Linked DNA regions of Yarrowia lipolytica. The protein of the gene in region 4 purifies or fractionates together with the protein of the main gene of each other region. This does not show direct contact. Links are inferred from orthologs where the notes say so. Each region holds a gene or a part of one and is shown on either strand. Other genes may lie near its edges.

Region 1 (3,834 bases), about 2.3 Mb from region 4:
TCTCGTTTCTGTTGTCTTGTTCCGGTTCATTGTTGTTCCGTTGGTGCTCATCATATTGCTGGTATCGCTGAGTGCTCCGGCACAGTCTCGATAGGTGCTCCGACACAGTCTCTCGTGATTGCCATTTCCACTGATGTCTTCAGCATATCAATTATGTTGGGCTATCGTATCAGTGGCAACCATCGCTGTCATTGTCCGTACAGTACTCACATCTTGTCTGAGTTAGTATTGAAGAGGTAGCAAGTCCAGCTGGCCCGATTGAGCTATGATTTAAGGGATTGTGAACAGCAGCCTTTAGAAGCATTCAGTCAAGTGCTTCTAAAACACCTCTGAAATGTAGTGCCAACAGTGTGATGCGCAACGTGTGTGGATGCCGTATCATCACGTAGACAGAGTACCTGTATCTGAGGGTCCCCTAACAGCCACTGTCGTCACAAAAAGACACCCAAGCGCCGCTGTATCGCCAATCCCACACAATGTTGTCGCTCAAGCCCTCAATCTCCAGTCACTGCTCCGACTTGCCCCCTACCCGCGCCCATACCGTGTACTCACAAACTAAGACCCAACTGAGTCAGTCCTCCAACGACGGTCAAGGCGCCAACGCCGATATTGGCGAGCCGGAACGCACCGCCCAAATCCATGCCTGAAATCGCCGACATGTCTGTGTGTATATTCTTGTGTGTCTTTTTTTGGTGTGTGTTGTGGTGTGGAGATGGCCAAGTGGGATACTGGAGATATGCACGAGGTGCATGTGGCGCTGGACTGGGAGGGTGGTTACTAGATCTCCGAGAGGAGCTATGGGGATTTTAATGATACCATTTTGATCGACTAAGCGAGAGGAATGGAATGCACCTTTCAGAAATTCAAAACTGCCACTAATCGCCATTGTAAATCCCCCCCTAATTCCCTTAGTAAGCTCGTCCCGTTGACTCAAACTAAAATTAGCCGCTGATAGCGAGCCTATAGTGGTCACATGAGATAGAGAGGTTGGTTGTGTGGCGATATTCGAGAGAAGGGAGCATGTGGGTGGTTAGTCAGACGAACATACTGCTTAGTCAGGTCAGACGTCACCGCTCATTTGCTCTCTCTTCTTTTCTCTCCTCTTTTTTTTTTCTGCAACTCTTGCTCATGTTAATTTCAATCCAACTAATGGCTCAACTAAAAGAAAGTCATCAACTAAATCTAAGTAATACCAACTAAACACTACTTGTTCCTGACATGGCTTCTCGGGATAAATATCTTGTCGTATATTAGTAAAAACTATTTAATCTTCCCCACAAAGAAGCTTCAAAATGCTTTCTTGTTCAATTATCACTTATGGGAGCTTTTATCGCACCAGTACATTCTTTACCATAGTCCCTACACCAGCTCCCCACAATATACTCACCATATGCCCCTTAATAAACCCAAGAAGACCCAATATTGGTATCATTCCACTCCTCCAGAACTCAGCTTTCTATTTCCACCACTATCCCCTCTATTTCTCCAAGTCTTCAAACAAGACAACCCCTCAACATCGCCACCAATGGTCAACAAACATCACATCTATAGTCTCAACTAAATATAAGGTTCTTCAACAAATTGTCGTATCAAACCACCGCTTCAATCTTCCCCTAAGCTAATTAAATCTGCTCAAAAACAGTACTGTAGATTTATTACATCATCCTGACCCTCCAGCCCAAATCTCATGTCTTTATCTCTTCTCTGGAACATACCACCGGCCGCCCAAATTACGTCGTTTTAGCTTTTAAGGCCCTAACCCTCAAATATTTTTCCACCTTGCATAACAGTGTAATTTTTTTTTTTTTTGGACCTCACATCTAACCCACAACTAAACATCATGTCTCTGGCCCGATCTACCGCGCTTCTGGACGAAAAAAACACACTGACGAGCTCCGTCACCGACAAGTACCGTCTGGCCGGCAAAATCACCCAGACGTGTCTGCAGCACATTATCCAGACCGTTCTGACCCAATATGAGACGTACACGGTGGGAGAAATGTGCCGTATGGGAGACGAGTTCCTCGAGCGAGCCACCACCGCCGTCTACAAGTCTGTGGCCGAGAAGGGCATTGCTCAACCCGTTCGAATCGAAAAGCAGGAGTTTGTGGGAGGAGTGAGTCCCGAGAACGGCGACAAGTTCCAGGGAGGCATGTTGGCGCCCGGCGATCTGGTCAAAATCTCTCTGGGAGTCTACATTGACGGATATACTGCCCAGGTGACACAAACAGAGGTTGTGCGACACGTGCCCAATACCTCTGCTGGCGAGACCGAGCAGCCTCTGACCGGATCTCCTGCCGATGCGGTCTGTGCCTCCTACCTGGCGTCCGAGGCGGTCATTGCCTACCTGGCCCAGGTGACCGATCCCAACCCCGGCAAGGCTGTTGGAGTTGTCACCGGTACCAAGATCCGAGAGCTCGTCGAGAAGATTGCTGCTGCCTACCACGTCAAGATTGTGCCTGGATCTTCTGTGCGACGTATCCGGCGTTTCCTCGCTGGTCAGCACGACATTGTGCTGGAGCGAGACTACAAGGGCGTTCTCTGGGAGGTTGAGGGCGAGGAGGAGCGAGCTCTTCACGCCGTCAAGCTGGCCGAGTCCGAGGCTAAACAGGAGTCCACCGAGGGCGCCGTCTGTCTGTACGAACAGCACATTGAGGAGGAGGAGAACTTCACCGTGGAGGCTGGAGAGGCCTACCAGGTCGACATTCAGATGGCTGCAGCTCCCCAGAAGGGCGCTATCCGTCTGTACGACTTCCAGGGCTACGACGAGTCTGGAACTGTGATCAACCAGTACGGACGAGACTTCTCTGTCACCTATGGACTCAAGATCCAGGCCAGCAGAAAGCTGCTCAGTCAGCTGGAGGCTACCACCTCCGTCTACCCCTTCAAGCTGTCCCACGTCGAGTCCAACGTTGCCAAGGCCCGTCTGGGTTTGGGCGAGATTCTGGCCCATCAGATTCTGGTGCCTATTCCCGTCAAGGTGGCCAAGTTTGTGCCTCTGGCTGCTCTCTACGAGTTTTCAAAGAACTCCAAGGCCCGGGCCCGAGACGAGGCTTCCAAGGCTGTTCCCGTTGCTCGAAACTCGTCTTCTGTGCTGCTCACCAATGACGCCTGTCTGCGACTCACTGGAGGCCAGGCCTTCCCTCCTCCTTATGTGCACTCTGCCTTTGAGCTGCCCGAGGACGTGACCAACCTACTCAAGCTGGTGGGCCACAAGCACGGAGCCAAGGTCAAGGATGTTCTTCCCGGCGACGTCGACATGGCTCCTGCAAAGGAGGCCAAGATGGAGGAGTAATCGAGTAACCGATAGTAACCGACCGAGGAGACAAGGAGAAGGAGAAAGAAGCCATGGAATTGGCCTATGTTGATGCGATGAAGCAAGCAAGCAATAGCTCACAACGAGCAACACCTAGGATATTTTGGATGGACGTTAGCATTAATAGATTGTTATGATATATGGTTCTCGGGACTGGAGGGACACCGACCACTGTAGTGTTTGTAGTGGCACAGGTACTGCCCAGCGAAGACCAGCTGGCACCATTTCTGTGAGATGCTGAACCTCCATGAAACAATACGAAGCATGACTGAGTAGTTAGATGCTATACCAGGTCACTGTGTATCAGATATCTCCGCCAACCCGTTCTATCCAAATAACAGCTGCGGCGATTCACAACACTGGCTGTATCGCCGTCTCAATCACTAGACAGTCTATCAAGACCTTTATCACCGGAGTGGACATACACTCATTCATGGCTCGTTTACCTACTGTACCTGTAGATGTGCTTGGTCATTATCGCAGGACTGGACGTCATGGCCCATGGCTCTTAGAAACGG
Region 2 (3,912 bases), on a different chromosome or scaffold from region 4:
ATACTCAACGCCATGGACAGCTGTCACATGCTCACTGGACAAATTAGCCTGTCTGACAGACTCTTCAATCTCAAACTTGCCCGGGTTGTTTGCGATAGCCGCGCCAACACCTAGAGATGTAGCCTTGAGCCGCTCGGGTCGTTCCACCAACGAGTCCTTGTATTTTTTTCCCATCCATGAACGACCAAAAGTGTGTTTGTACGATAGGGGAGATTGAACAATTAGCGTCTGGGCAGTTCCCGAGAAGCACCCAGGATATATCTTGTCAATTGCAATCTTGAATGACGTCACAGCGTCGTAATCATCTGAGGAGGTGGCCACAATCTTGTGAACAGGTGTCTCAGGGACAACTGCAGGGGTTTCTGTTTTCAAGGGAGTGGCTTCAGGGGTGGCCAACTTGAGCGGAGTTGCTTCAGGAGTATTTCTGTGACTGACATGAGGGGTCTGAAATTGTGTGGAAGGTATGGCTGGACTTGAGTGTCGTGAAGAATGGCCCGAATGAGGTGCTGAGGGAGGTACTGAAGACACAGTACCAGAGGCACCCATGTCGAACAGAGCTGGGTCGATAGCTGCTCCATCCTCCAGTCCAGGCTCCTGCTTGATATATCCGTTATATCGCTGTCCATGAGACATGTCTTCACCTCCTGGGGCGGATCGTGTATGCGGCGTGTAATAGGCGCTTGGTGTTTGGGGTGGCTCTTGTTTCACAACTTGGGGGGTATAAGGCTGCTGGGTGTGAGATTGTTGCTGAAAATTCTTGTCCCACGGTTTGGGGATTCGATGGTTTCCATTTGGCTGTTGACTGCCGTTTTCAGGTGTCTGTTGCCGCTCCTGATACTCCATCTTGGTTGTTGTTTTGGTGGAGTGCAGATGTAACGCGTCATGTGTGGACTTAATCTGAACCGTATATTTGAGACATGAGATAGGGTGTTTACTGAAACGGAGAGTGTTCATGTGACCAGAAAAGGGATTGAGGACACATTTGGACTTTGAAAACTTCATAGACAAATACTTCTTGACACCCTGACTGATGGCTTCTCCACATGTATGTATTGTACCTGTAGCCCACCTCATCTCCTACCAAGCTTGGCTAAACGAGAGCTTTAGTCTATAGACAATCAGCCTCAACGGCTGGACATCAGGTTTTGAGAGGTACAAATCACAGTTTGTTTTTTGCTAAAATTGTTCAAGAGTACCACGTGTAATCTCTCACTTGTTCCTGTCACAAAAATACCCCTAGTTACGTATCCCTCAATTCTGGTATTCGTATTTGTATTTCTCAAGTCATGTGTGAAGGAACTTAATTTAAGAAAGGGGCTGGTATACGGATATGCACTACGTTCGAGTGTGTACTTCTTTACCACACCGTCCAAGGGCAAGTACAGCACCACCATATATAAGGATGCAGCATATACAATACACACGTTTATTTTGATCACGCACCCATTTATCTATCATATATCACCCTCCCACCATGTTACAAATGGGGTATGTCACCAACGGTTTAGCGCGTTTTGAACCCTGGCCTTGGTGAGGAAACTCAATTGGGGTTACCCTGCCGAGAGCTGGGGTAATTTGCCAGCGCCACTTATCCCAACTCGCCGACGAAAATCGAACCTCGTACTTCCACACCACACAACACCACACACTCAACCATGTCCAACCTCGACCAGTCCCTCGACGAGATCATCTCCGCTGCCCCCAAGCGATCCAACCGAAAGAACCGACGAGGAGCAAGCGCTGCTGGAAACGGTGGAGTCCAGAAGGCCACCCCTGCCGCCCCCAAGGCTGGTACCCCCAAGAACAAGCAGCAGAAGCAGCAGCAGCAGAAGAAGGTCGCTGCTATTGTCAACCCCATTGACGAGGCCAAGAAGCTCGCCAGCAAGGTCATTATTTCCAACCTGCCCCAGGACATTGGCGAGGACGCCATTCGAGTATGTTAAACCGAAGATACACACACGCGACACTGCTAGAGTGATGCGTGGAGTGGACTCAGTTGCACCTGCAGCCTCAAGGCGCACACAGCAACATCAACGGAGCTGATACCGATTCGTGAACGCTTTCTTCGAAAGTCAGTAGCAAGGGAAGTTGCCATTTTTGTGATGGCAGCACCTCATTCAACAGTAGCCAGTATTTCTGCTCTGCAAAATTCTTGGTGAAGAGTAACCGAATTTCCTTCTTTTTAGGAATAAGGTGAAGAGTAGCCAGACGCTTCCCAGTGAAGAATGTGGTGAAGTGATACGCGGTTTCGGGAGCAGATCTGGATCGTCCTCGGACTGATTCCTGCGCTCACGGCCATGCTTATATGGCCAACCGACATTCCGAGAACTGAAACTGAACGGCCTTTTCAAAAACAGCTGCTAGAGAGCTGAGAGCGGTGGGTTTTGCTTGTTGTCATAATGGAGAGAAAGATCGAAAGCACTCATTGCTAATGTGACACGAGCCGGATTGAAAGCTGATGATCAAAGACCTGCGCATATTCCTTGCCTTGTCTTTGCAGCTGTGCGAGGGAAGAAAAATCCATGTCCAGTTTCAGAAGTCAGCCCCTGGAGGCTGGCAAACCTGTTGCAAATTGCTTGTCGCAGGTTGTCCCTATTACTGGGATTTCTCAGGAATGAAAGTCTGCACCAGCCTGGCTGGGTCAGAGTTAAAGCCGCCAGTAAGACATTGTATAATCCTTGTCAGATTCCTCTGACACTCATTTATGCTCTGCTTTGCTCCCCATTTTCGGATCAGTTCCGTTGTGATTCACGTGATTCCTTAAGAACTCGTGCTGACCATTAGGACTACTTCAAGACTGAGATCGGACCCATTTCCGCCTGCACCATGGTCTACAACAAGGGTGGACACCCTGCCGGAATCGTCAATGTCACCTTCAAGCGACAAGGTGATGCTGCCAAGGCCGCCGACAAGTTCAACGGTACTTCCATCGACCGTGGAAAGCGATACATGAAGGTGAGCAGCTAGACATAACAGAGGAGGATCAAGAGAATCAAGAGGAGGGAAATGCCGGCGACAGTGACGACAAATTACGACCATGACACCATCAAATTGACACTCTGCCTTATTTGGACAGGCAGATGTTACTCTGGAGGAGGAATACCATTGATTGCCGTCTACTGCGTGCCGATAATTGCTTGAGACGAAGCGATTTGGATACTAACACAGGTTGAGTTGGTTTACGACCCTTCCAAGACCCCTCTGTCTGCCCGACTCCAGCCCAAGCCCGAGCCTGCTCCCGCCAAGGCCACCGTCAACGCTGCCGCCAAGGCCAAGCAGCAGCAGCAGCAGCAGCAGAAGAAGAAGGCCACTAAGCCCAAGCCCAAGAAGGCCCCCAAGAAGACTGTGGAGCAGCTCGATGCCGAGATGGCTGACTACTTCCAGGATTAAATAGAATTTAATTGATGTATATTAGCTTTTTAATACTGGTCTTGAGTGTTCTGTGTTATGATAATTCCCCCTCAAGTGGATTCTATATCCTATGGTTGACCAATTGTACGTACTGTAGCTACTTGTACTGCATTGTAGTATTGTATGTGCTGTGTCACTCGTCTTTTGTACAATGTGTCATGGCGGCAGCCGTCAGAGAAGGATCTGCCGTAATATACAGAAGCAGTTAATCACGCCGAAACAGAGACTAAAAGTTCAGTACTGGCGAGGCGACCCCCTGTCATGGACTCCAAACCCTGTGCCTTGTTTCTGTATAGATAGCTACTGTACTTGTAGACGCTAATTATTTCCAATCATAAATTCGAAACATCGCCATTCGCTCGTAGTATGATAGACTAACGGCCCTACCCCCAAACGATAGACAAATACACGAGTCTATGAAAACACTGCCTAATTAGAACGCGAAAAGGGGCATGCACAAACCTACTGGTACAGTATTGTATCATACTAAAAGCCCCATGA
Region 3 (3,442 bases), on a different chromosome or scaffold from region 4:
CGAATTAACACTATATCTGCCTTCCTTCCTTCTGAGCGAATTTTGCTGTTCTTGTTCTGACTTCTGATACCATGTTGTGTCAGAAGTAGGTTTGAGAAGAGGGACTCATCACACCATGGCAAGTAATTGCAAGTAGTACTGTTATGTTATTATTAATAATAATAATAATAATAATAATAAATAATAAAAAAAACCTGTGGGAAAAAAATCCTACGGAATGGGACAAAGCTCACACTGAAAAAGAGATATTGTACTGGGCGTATAATAGTCGTATAGTATAAATATATTATTCAAATAAAAGAGCATATAGATCGTACAAGTTCATACTTGTACTGCACATAATAAATCAACAGTTCAAATGTTGATACTTTTACTGTAGTGTTAAAGATCGTATTCATATTACAAGTACAGTACATACACAACGTTACAGGTAGCACACTCCACTCAGCTCAATGCGGGTCTTAGTCATAGTAGGAGGACACAACGTTATTATAAATACACAGCGCAATTCTACAATCCCAGGGTTTACAGATAAGTAGTAGATTTTTAACTAACTAAGAGCTTAGTCGAAAAGACCGAATCCCATGTCGTCATCCTCAGACTCCTCATCCTCCTCAGCGGCAGCAGCAGGGGCAGCCTCAGAAGAGCCGGAAGCGGCAGCGGCGGCAGGAGCAGCAGCGGCGTAAGCCTCGGGGTTGGCAATTCGGTCCTTGATGGCCTCAGAGCCCTCGAAAGTGTAGTCAGAAGCAATGGACAGAGCAAGAACGTTCTTGTAGTTGTTGATGATGCAGTGAGACACGGCGGGGAGGGTGGGGTAGTTGGCGGCAAGGGAGATGGCGGTGATGGTAGAGATGGCACCAATGACGTTGGAGATGAGCTCCTCGTCGGTGATGTCCAGAATCTCGGAACCGAAAACCTGGCCGTTGTCGTAGACCTGAACAACAGTCATTCCGTAGGTGAAAGGAGAGATGTTCAGCATGTTAAGGAGGGTAGCCTCGGAGGGACCGACCTTGACATCCTGCTGGAGGATCTTGACATCGGAGGTAATCTCAATAGTACCTCGAGAAATCTTGGTGGGGACACCGAGAGCCTGGAAGAAAGAAGTCTTGTCCGGAGGCATTCCAGTGTTGGCGGCCTGGATCCAGACGTCCTTAGGGGCAATGGCACCGGCTCGGGCAGGGGCCAGAACTCGGTTCTCGAGGAGAACCTCTCGGATCTCCTTGAGGTCGTCGTTGGTGAAAACGAAACCAACGTTGCCTCGGCAGAGGGGCATGAGAAGCTCAGCAGCCTCGGGGAGCTCCTCCTCGAACTCTCGGAGAGCTCGTCGGACCATGGTGTTCTTACCCATGAGAACGACTGCTCGGCCTCGGAGAGTCTTTCGGATCTCATGCATCTGCTGAGAAGAGACGTTATCGACGCCGACGACGAAAATGGACTTGTACTCCTGAAGCAACTGCTTCAGTTTGGAGAAGTACTCGGTCTTCTTGATGCTGGTGCTGCCTCCCATTTCGAATTAGTTTGATAGGATATTTAAAGACAAATTCCGCTGAAGAGAAGAAGAGAAGAAAAATTTCACCAGCGAGTTATGAACTCCCAACGCGGAGTCTGAGTGGGTATGCTCAAACTTACGCAGTGCTGTGATATACTTCACCAATTGGGCTGTGTCCCCTAACCTTGATATCACGTGAGTGGGAGAACTGGATAAGGTCGGTTTTTTATGTAAGCGAAAGCGATTTTTGATGCTGCGAGAATAGTTACTTGTATTCTACTTACCTTCCCATGTCTTAAATTCACCCCTCTACTCAAATGGCTAAAATTTCTACTTTTGTTGAGATCATCGCACCCCACCATCCACGTAGGCACGCATATTTTACTAATCCGTACGTACAGCTTCAAACAAGCTGAAGTTTCGTTTTTTAAGACATACAAAACTTCGAAGATATGAAAAAGCACGTAAATAAACGTAGTTAACGTAGTGAGCGGTTGATTAGAGAGCTTGTCTCAAGTTTCTTCACTATTTGCACACATTAAGCATCATCAAACTACTATGTAGTATGTACTTGTATATATGTACGATCTGGGACACTCACTCCCCGTACAGTATGTATGTATAGAGTAGTCACATAAGGCGAGAGTCCCGCACAGTATCCCAGTGAGTCCACGTTGTCAGCGCGGAGTACACATAACTGAATGTAGGATGTGGCCAGCACAACATACATCACTATTATATAACGGTATCATATTCAATGATGCTTAGTCGTCAGTGCGTCTTCGCTTCGTGAGTTCTCATTCCTGGGTCCCAGAGGCACCTCCAGATCCTCGTTTTTGACTAGAGTCCCGGCTGCGAGCACCCTGGAAGTCGCCCCTTGGTTGTCTTCGCTTCTTGTGGTTCTGTCCACGGTTGTTGTACATTCCCTGTCTGTTGTGGGCTGCTCGAGCACCTTGGTTGTTGTCTTGGTCATACCGGCGAGCGGTGTATGTCGGTCTGTCAAACCCGCTGTGAGAAGGTAGATACTGCTGGTTGTTCGGGGACCGTCCTCGACCCTGCAAAGCCGGTTGTACAAGCATGTCCATAGGTCCAACAGTCTGGCCAGTCATTTCAACGTCTTCAGACAGTTTCTGTCGCTCGTATCGGTCCGAGTTGGGGCCAAGGACTGCCTCCTTTGCCAGGGAGTCTGCTTTGACTACTACAGCAGGCAACATTCGGGGGATCAGCTCCTCCTCCTCTTCCAGGTTACCAATCTTGATAAAACGGTTGCAGCCGTCCAGCTTGCCGAGATACTTGACGTTGGTTTCCAGAGTGTCGTAGTCATTGGCATACTCGATGGGGTAGTCAATAGCCTTCTTTCGACGTCTCTTGTTGTGAGGGGTTCGTGGATCGTAGTTGAACTTGGTCCCCACGCTGTGTTCCTGGCGAACAACGGGATCACACAGAGCCTGGAACACCATCAGGTTGAGATAGGCATCATTACCTGCATTGTGGAGAAAGGCGTGAGGAATGCAAAATGCCTCCAGAAGATAGGTGAGGTTGCCCTTGCCCTGTTTTTTAATACAACGCCAGATCTTCTCAGTGTCGATGATGGGCAGCTCAGGAATGTGGAAGTCCATCTTCTTGAGCTCGTTGAGGTCCCCCGAGATGCAGTGGCCCACATAGTAGACCGGGTCCTGGTCAAAGCCGGCAGTAAGGCCCGTCAGAAGTTCCTTCCAAACTGTTCGAATGTCGGCTAGAGGCGCCACTTGCGACGTACCGTAGCAAAAGAAGTCTCTATGGTCCGGGACGTAGTTACCGTTTCGGTATCGATCCGACGATCTCTCCTTGACAACAAAGTGCTGGGCCGAGATCTTAGGGGCTGCGTAAGGCTTGTCGGGCTGACCAATCGGATGGAACCGCATCACGGCCACTCCGATCTCCGTGATCACTCCAGCATGATGTTCTGCGGTT
Region 4 (4,483 bases):
GGAGAACAAGGACTTTGCCACGCTGGTACAGATCAGAGACTCTATTGAGCAGGCTTTTGATATCACAGGTCTGGAGCTGTCCATGGGCATGTCTTCTGACTTTGAGGAAGCCATCAAGCAGGGATCCACCAATGTGAGAATTGGATCGACCATTTTCGGAGGACGAATGACCAAGGAGGAAGCCAAGACTGCATGAACTTAGCGAACGCTCTCACCCCGCCCAGCAAACCTGCTGATAGGATCTGGGCTTAAACAATTGATTTTGCGGTGCACAAGTAAAGTTGTATATAGATCAATTGATTGAATAGACCATTTGATATCGAGTGTGACTCTTTATACATATCTGTCGATTGAATGTCTATAGATGTTCTATACACTACGTGTTTGAAGCTGCTGATGAAGTCACACATCTTATCATCGAATGTAATACAATATCCAAAAATGTAATGCAACCCACCTGTATTACTGTCATATCACTATCGTATCATAATTATCTATAATGCATCGTCTTCCCAAGTCATTTCCCTAGTCGTGCCGTCATCCGCTTAAATAATATCGCCGTAGGTTCCGCCGTAGTTGTCGTTGGTGGACCGGGCGTTTCGGGCCTTGACCTTCTTGCCCTTGAAATGCTTCTTGGTGCCCTGAGCAGCACCTCGCTGGTGGAAGGGGGTGCTCATGTTGCCTCCTGATGAGTTCTTTCCAAAGTAGTCAGCGTCCAGATGCTCGCCGAGAGAAGAAAATCCTTTACCACCGAAACCACCGGCTCCAGTGGCATGCTGGGAGAAAGACAGTTTGTCAATGTCTCGCTCAAGGTCAAAATCCTCTCGAGCAATGCCAGAGTGAACAGCAGCATCAAGCAGCTGCTTCTGACGCGAGGGAGGCAGCTGGTTGAGGGTGTACAGACCCTTGTTGAAGAGAATACCGGCATCTTCGTCATCCAGATCCTCTCTGTAGTCGGGAGGAGGATGACAGTAGAGCAGCTTTCCGTTAACGTAGTCCTTGAGCACGTATCGAGCAGCTCGCGACTCGTCGGGATTACCCTGAGAGGCTCCACGCATGTATCCTCGTGCCTTGGCGTAGGCCACAAGGAATTCTGTGGCTGTGGGATATCCGAGACCGCCCTCATCGACCGGACGAGTGTAGATCTTGATACCGTAGACGGACTCGAGGAAGTACTTGGGCACTCGTCGAGACACGAGGGTCGCGGGACCGGTGAACTCACGCAGCTGGTCGATGGGAAGCACACCGTTACACACCAGTTCTCCGTTGGTGTTACCGAAGTTGGGGAACACCAGACCGGGACAATCACACAGCATCACCTTGGGTGACAGCAGGATAGTTTGGAAGTGCTTGGTCTTTCCAGGGGTGGCAGAAACAGACACCTTGTTGGAGCCCACCAGGGCGTTGATGGTAGAAGACTTACCAACGTTAGGGTAACCGACCAGACCAATGTTCAGGCGGGGTTCCTGGCCAGCGGGAGCGGGCTGCATGGGAGCAGGAGCCTCGGCGAGGAACAGCTGCTCGAGCTGGTCCACAGACAGGATAGATGTGGGGGTGGCCATGACGGAATAGTGCATGTTCTCTGTGTCAGGCTTGGACTCGTCGGTAGCCTTGGCCTCCTCATGGGCGTTAGCAGGAACGGCCTCCTGGATCTCGGTGACAGAAGGCTCAACGTCGTCTTCCTCGTCTTCTTCGTCTTCCTCCTCATCCTCATCCTCAGACTCCTCCTTAGGGACAAACTGTGCAAGTTCTCGCTCGAGAGCCGACACCTCGTCGTCGGAATCGTCATTCTTGACGGGCTTCTTGGCGGGCTTCTTGGTAGCCTGAGCCTCTTCTCGGGCCTCCAGAGCCTCCAGCTCCTCCTTGGCCTTGGCAGCAGAGAAGAAGGCGTATCGAATTCCGTGTTTCTTGAAATAGTCGGCCCAGATCTGTCGCTGCTCCTCGGTCATCAGGTCAGCCTTGTTAACCAGCAGCAGGTTTCGCTTACGGGGGTCAATCTCCTTGACATACAACTCCAGATCCTCGGATCGGAACTGCAGAGGGTTTCGCCCATCGACAATCTGCACAACCAGATCGGATCGCTCGCACACTCGCCACAGCTGGCGCCACACCTCAATGTTTCGCTCGAATGGCGTCAGAAGCAGATCCTGGTTCTCCTGCAGCTCCGCCAGACTTCGTCGCCATCGCAGAAACGCCTCCTTCTCCTCTCGATCGAGCTGGGTGGAGGTGGTATCTTCAGTCCAAACAGGTCGTCGGGGAACAGTCAGCTTGCCGGCGTTCTCCAGCTGCTTCTCACGCAGCTTCTCGGCCTCAGCCTTGGTCAAAAGGTAAGGGTTGGAGTTGTCATGGGTGTTGATAATGGTGGTGTGGGCTCGTCGCTCAGCGGTGAAATCAGTGTCAGCCAGCTCGGCGGTGGCCAGAAACTCGTCCAGAGCCTTCTCTTGGGTGACGGATCGCAGCTTGACCCACCCGGCCTCCTTGTTCTCCTCGGTTGTGTATCGGGTCTCTCCAGAATCGGTCACGTAGACTCGTCCTTCCTTGGCCTTTCGGTTCATCAGAGTCTTTCCGAGTCCCGTGTTGTTGGGGGTCTTCTTTTTGTGGTACTGCGGCTTGGGTCCCGAGGGGGGACCCTTGGGCTTGACCACATCGGAATGCAACGGTGTTTTGTTCATGTTCAGATAATATAAATTTCGTGTAGTGGGGGATGAGGTCGTAGGACCCCAGCACCTTAGATATGATGCAGAAATAATTTTTAAGGTTGAGTTTCAACCTGCACGGTCACGTGATGTGCAAGTGTGACACGATACAACTGAGCAACAGGAAAAAAGGGGGGTTTGGGAGCAATTCGTTGAGAGAAAGCGGGAATCGATAATACAGTGAAATATGAGTCCGAGGGAGGTATTTTGAAGGTTCTATAGTGTATGAATGACTCATTGAAGCCAGTGTTTCTCACTTGGTTTAGATCATATCAGTGAACTTTATTTGTTACTGTGGCAACATAGAACCGGTTGGAAGACTGGCGGTTGGGGAGTAGAATTGCGAGTAAACGTGGTGGTTGCGTGAAATTGGTGGAGCGGGATATTTGCGTGGTTTGTAATATTTTGGTTGTTTGGGATTTTGATTAATAATGCTTCTTTGTCCAACTCTTGGTCGTTAGACGATGGTGCCTTAGTGCTTGTAGGCAGATTCAGGCAGGGCCAAGTACAGTATGCACAAGTACACCAAGTACAGTATGCACAAGTACACCAAGTACAGTACAAGACGACCAAGTAAAAGTACCTGTATGAACAAGTAAGAGATGGGATGAAATCGACATTTAATGAGAGGAACTCGTGTCATTCACATGCTTCATTTGGTTTGCAAAAGTGGCATATCACAAGGTCGGTGATCTCCCACCCCTAGTGGGTCCTTAAAAACAGGCTGATCATGATGAGTATTCAGAAGAGGAAAAGATGAACAGTCTCATGATCTTTTGACAGAGAAGGAAAGCCAGGAGCCTGTGCTTTTACAATTACAATGTACTTGTACTAGTACTAGTGGAAGCATACATTTGCGATCTTAGTCAACAACTTTCTCTAATGGCTTGCACCACTCACCTATTTTTTATTTTATTTTATTTTATAATAACATAATTTTTCAGCCGAAGCTTGACTTGTTAAAAGTAAGTGTCATACTTCGCTCTGTATAACTAGGGTGAAGGAACTCACTGTGTAGTGTACTTCAGTATATACAGACTACAGTACATACTGTATGTACATATACTAAAAAACCATTGTGGACATCTACTACGACAACTGGTGACAATTTTTCTATATTCCTTGAATCAAACTGTTCGCCTCTTCAGGTATCATATCAACTCCATGCTGCTGTCGATACTTGTTCTCCAAGTACTGCTTTGTATACCTCCACACAGCAACAGAACCGTTGGATAAGCCCACAACCGTGAGATAAACATCTATCGGGGAAGTGTGTTCCCGCGCAATGTCCGAGACGTCGGTCAACTGTTTCAGTCTGTGAGTCTTCAAGTCGACGAGGGCAGTAACCAAACCGTTGTGATTATAAATCAAGGCATAGTGGCGATACCTACTGTCTTGTTCCACCCTATGATGCCTACTTAGATCCCACTCCTTTGGAAGCACTTCTGTGGACTTTGAGCTTTGCACAATTGGTCTCCAATGACTGTCGATGATCACATCAAACACATGTCCATCGTAAAACAAGAGCCCGGCTGGAGCTCTCAACAATAAACAACCTCTCTCAGCTTGGACCGTGGCTTTTTTAGGGCTCACGATACTCGAATATCGCGCTTCGCCCCCTACAAAAGCCACAATAGCTGTCTTTCCCACAACCTGTAACTTGAAGGACATCTTTCCGGGCAAATGACATCCGAAAGCGGGAAGAGGAGTCTCCGAGGCGCTCAGATCTTTCATATTTATGATCAATTCTCCATCATTGTTGCTGAAAACCGCTGTCATGACTTCTG

The links.
Region 1: the proteins of YALI1_C30287g (region 4) and YALI1_C07137g purify together in Saccharomyces cerevisiae (affinity purification with mass spectrometry; 9 studies listed by BioGRID, with this or other methods). This does not show direct contact. The link is inferred for Yarrowia lipolytica from reciprocal best matches to the Saccharomyces cerevisiae genes LSG1 and ARX1.
Region 2: the proteins of YALI1_C30287g (region 4) and YALI1_A21919g purify together in Saccharomyces cerevisiae (affinity purification with mass spectrometry; 3 studies listed by BioGRID). This does not show direct contact. The link is inferred for Yarrowia lipolytica from reciprocal best matches to the Saccharomyces cerevisiae genes LSG1 and YRA1.
Region 3: the proteins of YALI1_C30287g (region 4) and YALI1_B18707g purify together in Saccharomyces cerevisiae (affinity purification with western blotting; 8 studies listed by BioGRID, with this or other methods). This does not show direct contact. The link is inferred for Yarrowia lipolytica from reciprocal best matches to the Saccharomyces cerevisiae genes LSG1 and RPP0.

Annotation. Positions count from the first base shown.
Region 1 is NC_090772.1:711,927-715,760, forward strand, and holds YALI1_C07137g (uncharacterized protein), read left to right. Parts: upstream 1-1,840; coding exon 1,841-3,295; downstream 3,296-3,834. Other genes in the region: YALI1_C07152g (uncharacterized protein), read left to right, coding at 3,349-3,446. UniProt on the Saccharomyces cerevisiae protein: Probable metalloprotease involved in proper assembly of pre-ribosomal particles during the biogenesis of the 60S ribosomal subunit. Accompanies the pre-60S particles to the cytoplasm.
Region 2 is NC_090770.1:2,190,235-2,194,146, forward strand, and holds YALI1_A21919g (uncharacterized protein), read left to right. Parts: upstream 1-1,655; coding exon 1,656-1,934; intron 1,935-2,784; coding exon 2,785-2,955; intron 2,956-3,168; coding exon 3,169-3,390; downstream 3,391-3,912. Other genes in the region: YALI1_A21913g (uncharacterized protein), read right to left, coding at 1-1,074. UniProt on the Saccharomyces cerevisiae protein: RNA-binding RNA annealing protein. May have a role in pre-mRNA metabolism. Component the TREX complex, which operates in coupling transcription elongation to mRNA export.
Region 3 is NC_090771.1:1,869,227-1,872,668, forward strand, and holds YALI1_B18707g (60S ribosomal protein uL10), read right to left. Parts: upstream 1,508-3,442; coding exon 563-1,507; downstream 1-562. Other genes in the region: YALI1_B18727g (uncharacterized protein), read right to left, coding at 2,287-3,442. UniProt on the Saccharomyces cerevisiae protein: Component of the ribosome, a large ribonucleoprotein complex responsible for the synthesis of proteins in the cell.
Region 4 is NC_090772.1:3,026,086-3,030,568, forward strand, and holds YALI1_C30287g (uncharacterized protein), read right to left. Parts: upstream 2,673-4,483; coding exon 546-2,672; downstream 1-545. Other genes in the region: YALI1_C30255g (uncharacterized protein), read left to right, coding at 1-196; YALI1_C30310g (uncharacterized protein), read right to left, coding at 3,810-4,483. UniProt on the Saccharomyces cerevisiae protein: GTPase required for the nuclear export of the 60S ribosomal subunit. Acts by mediating the release of NMD3 from the 60S ribosomal subunit after export into the cytoplasm.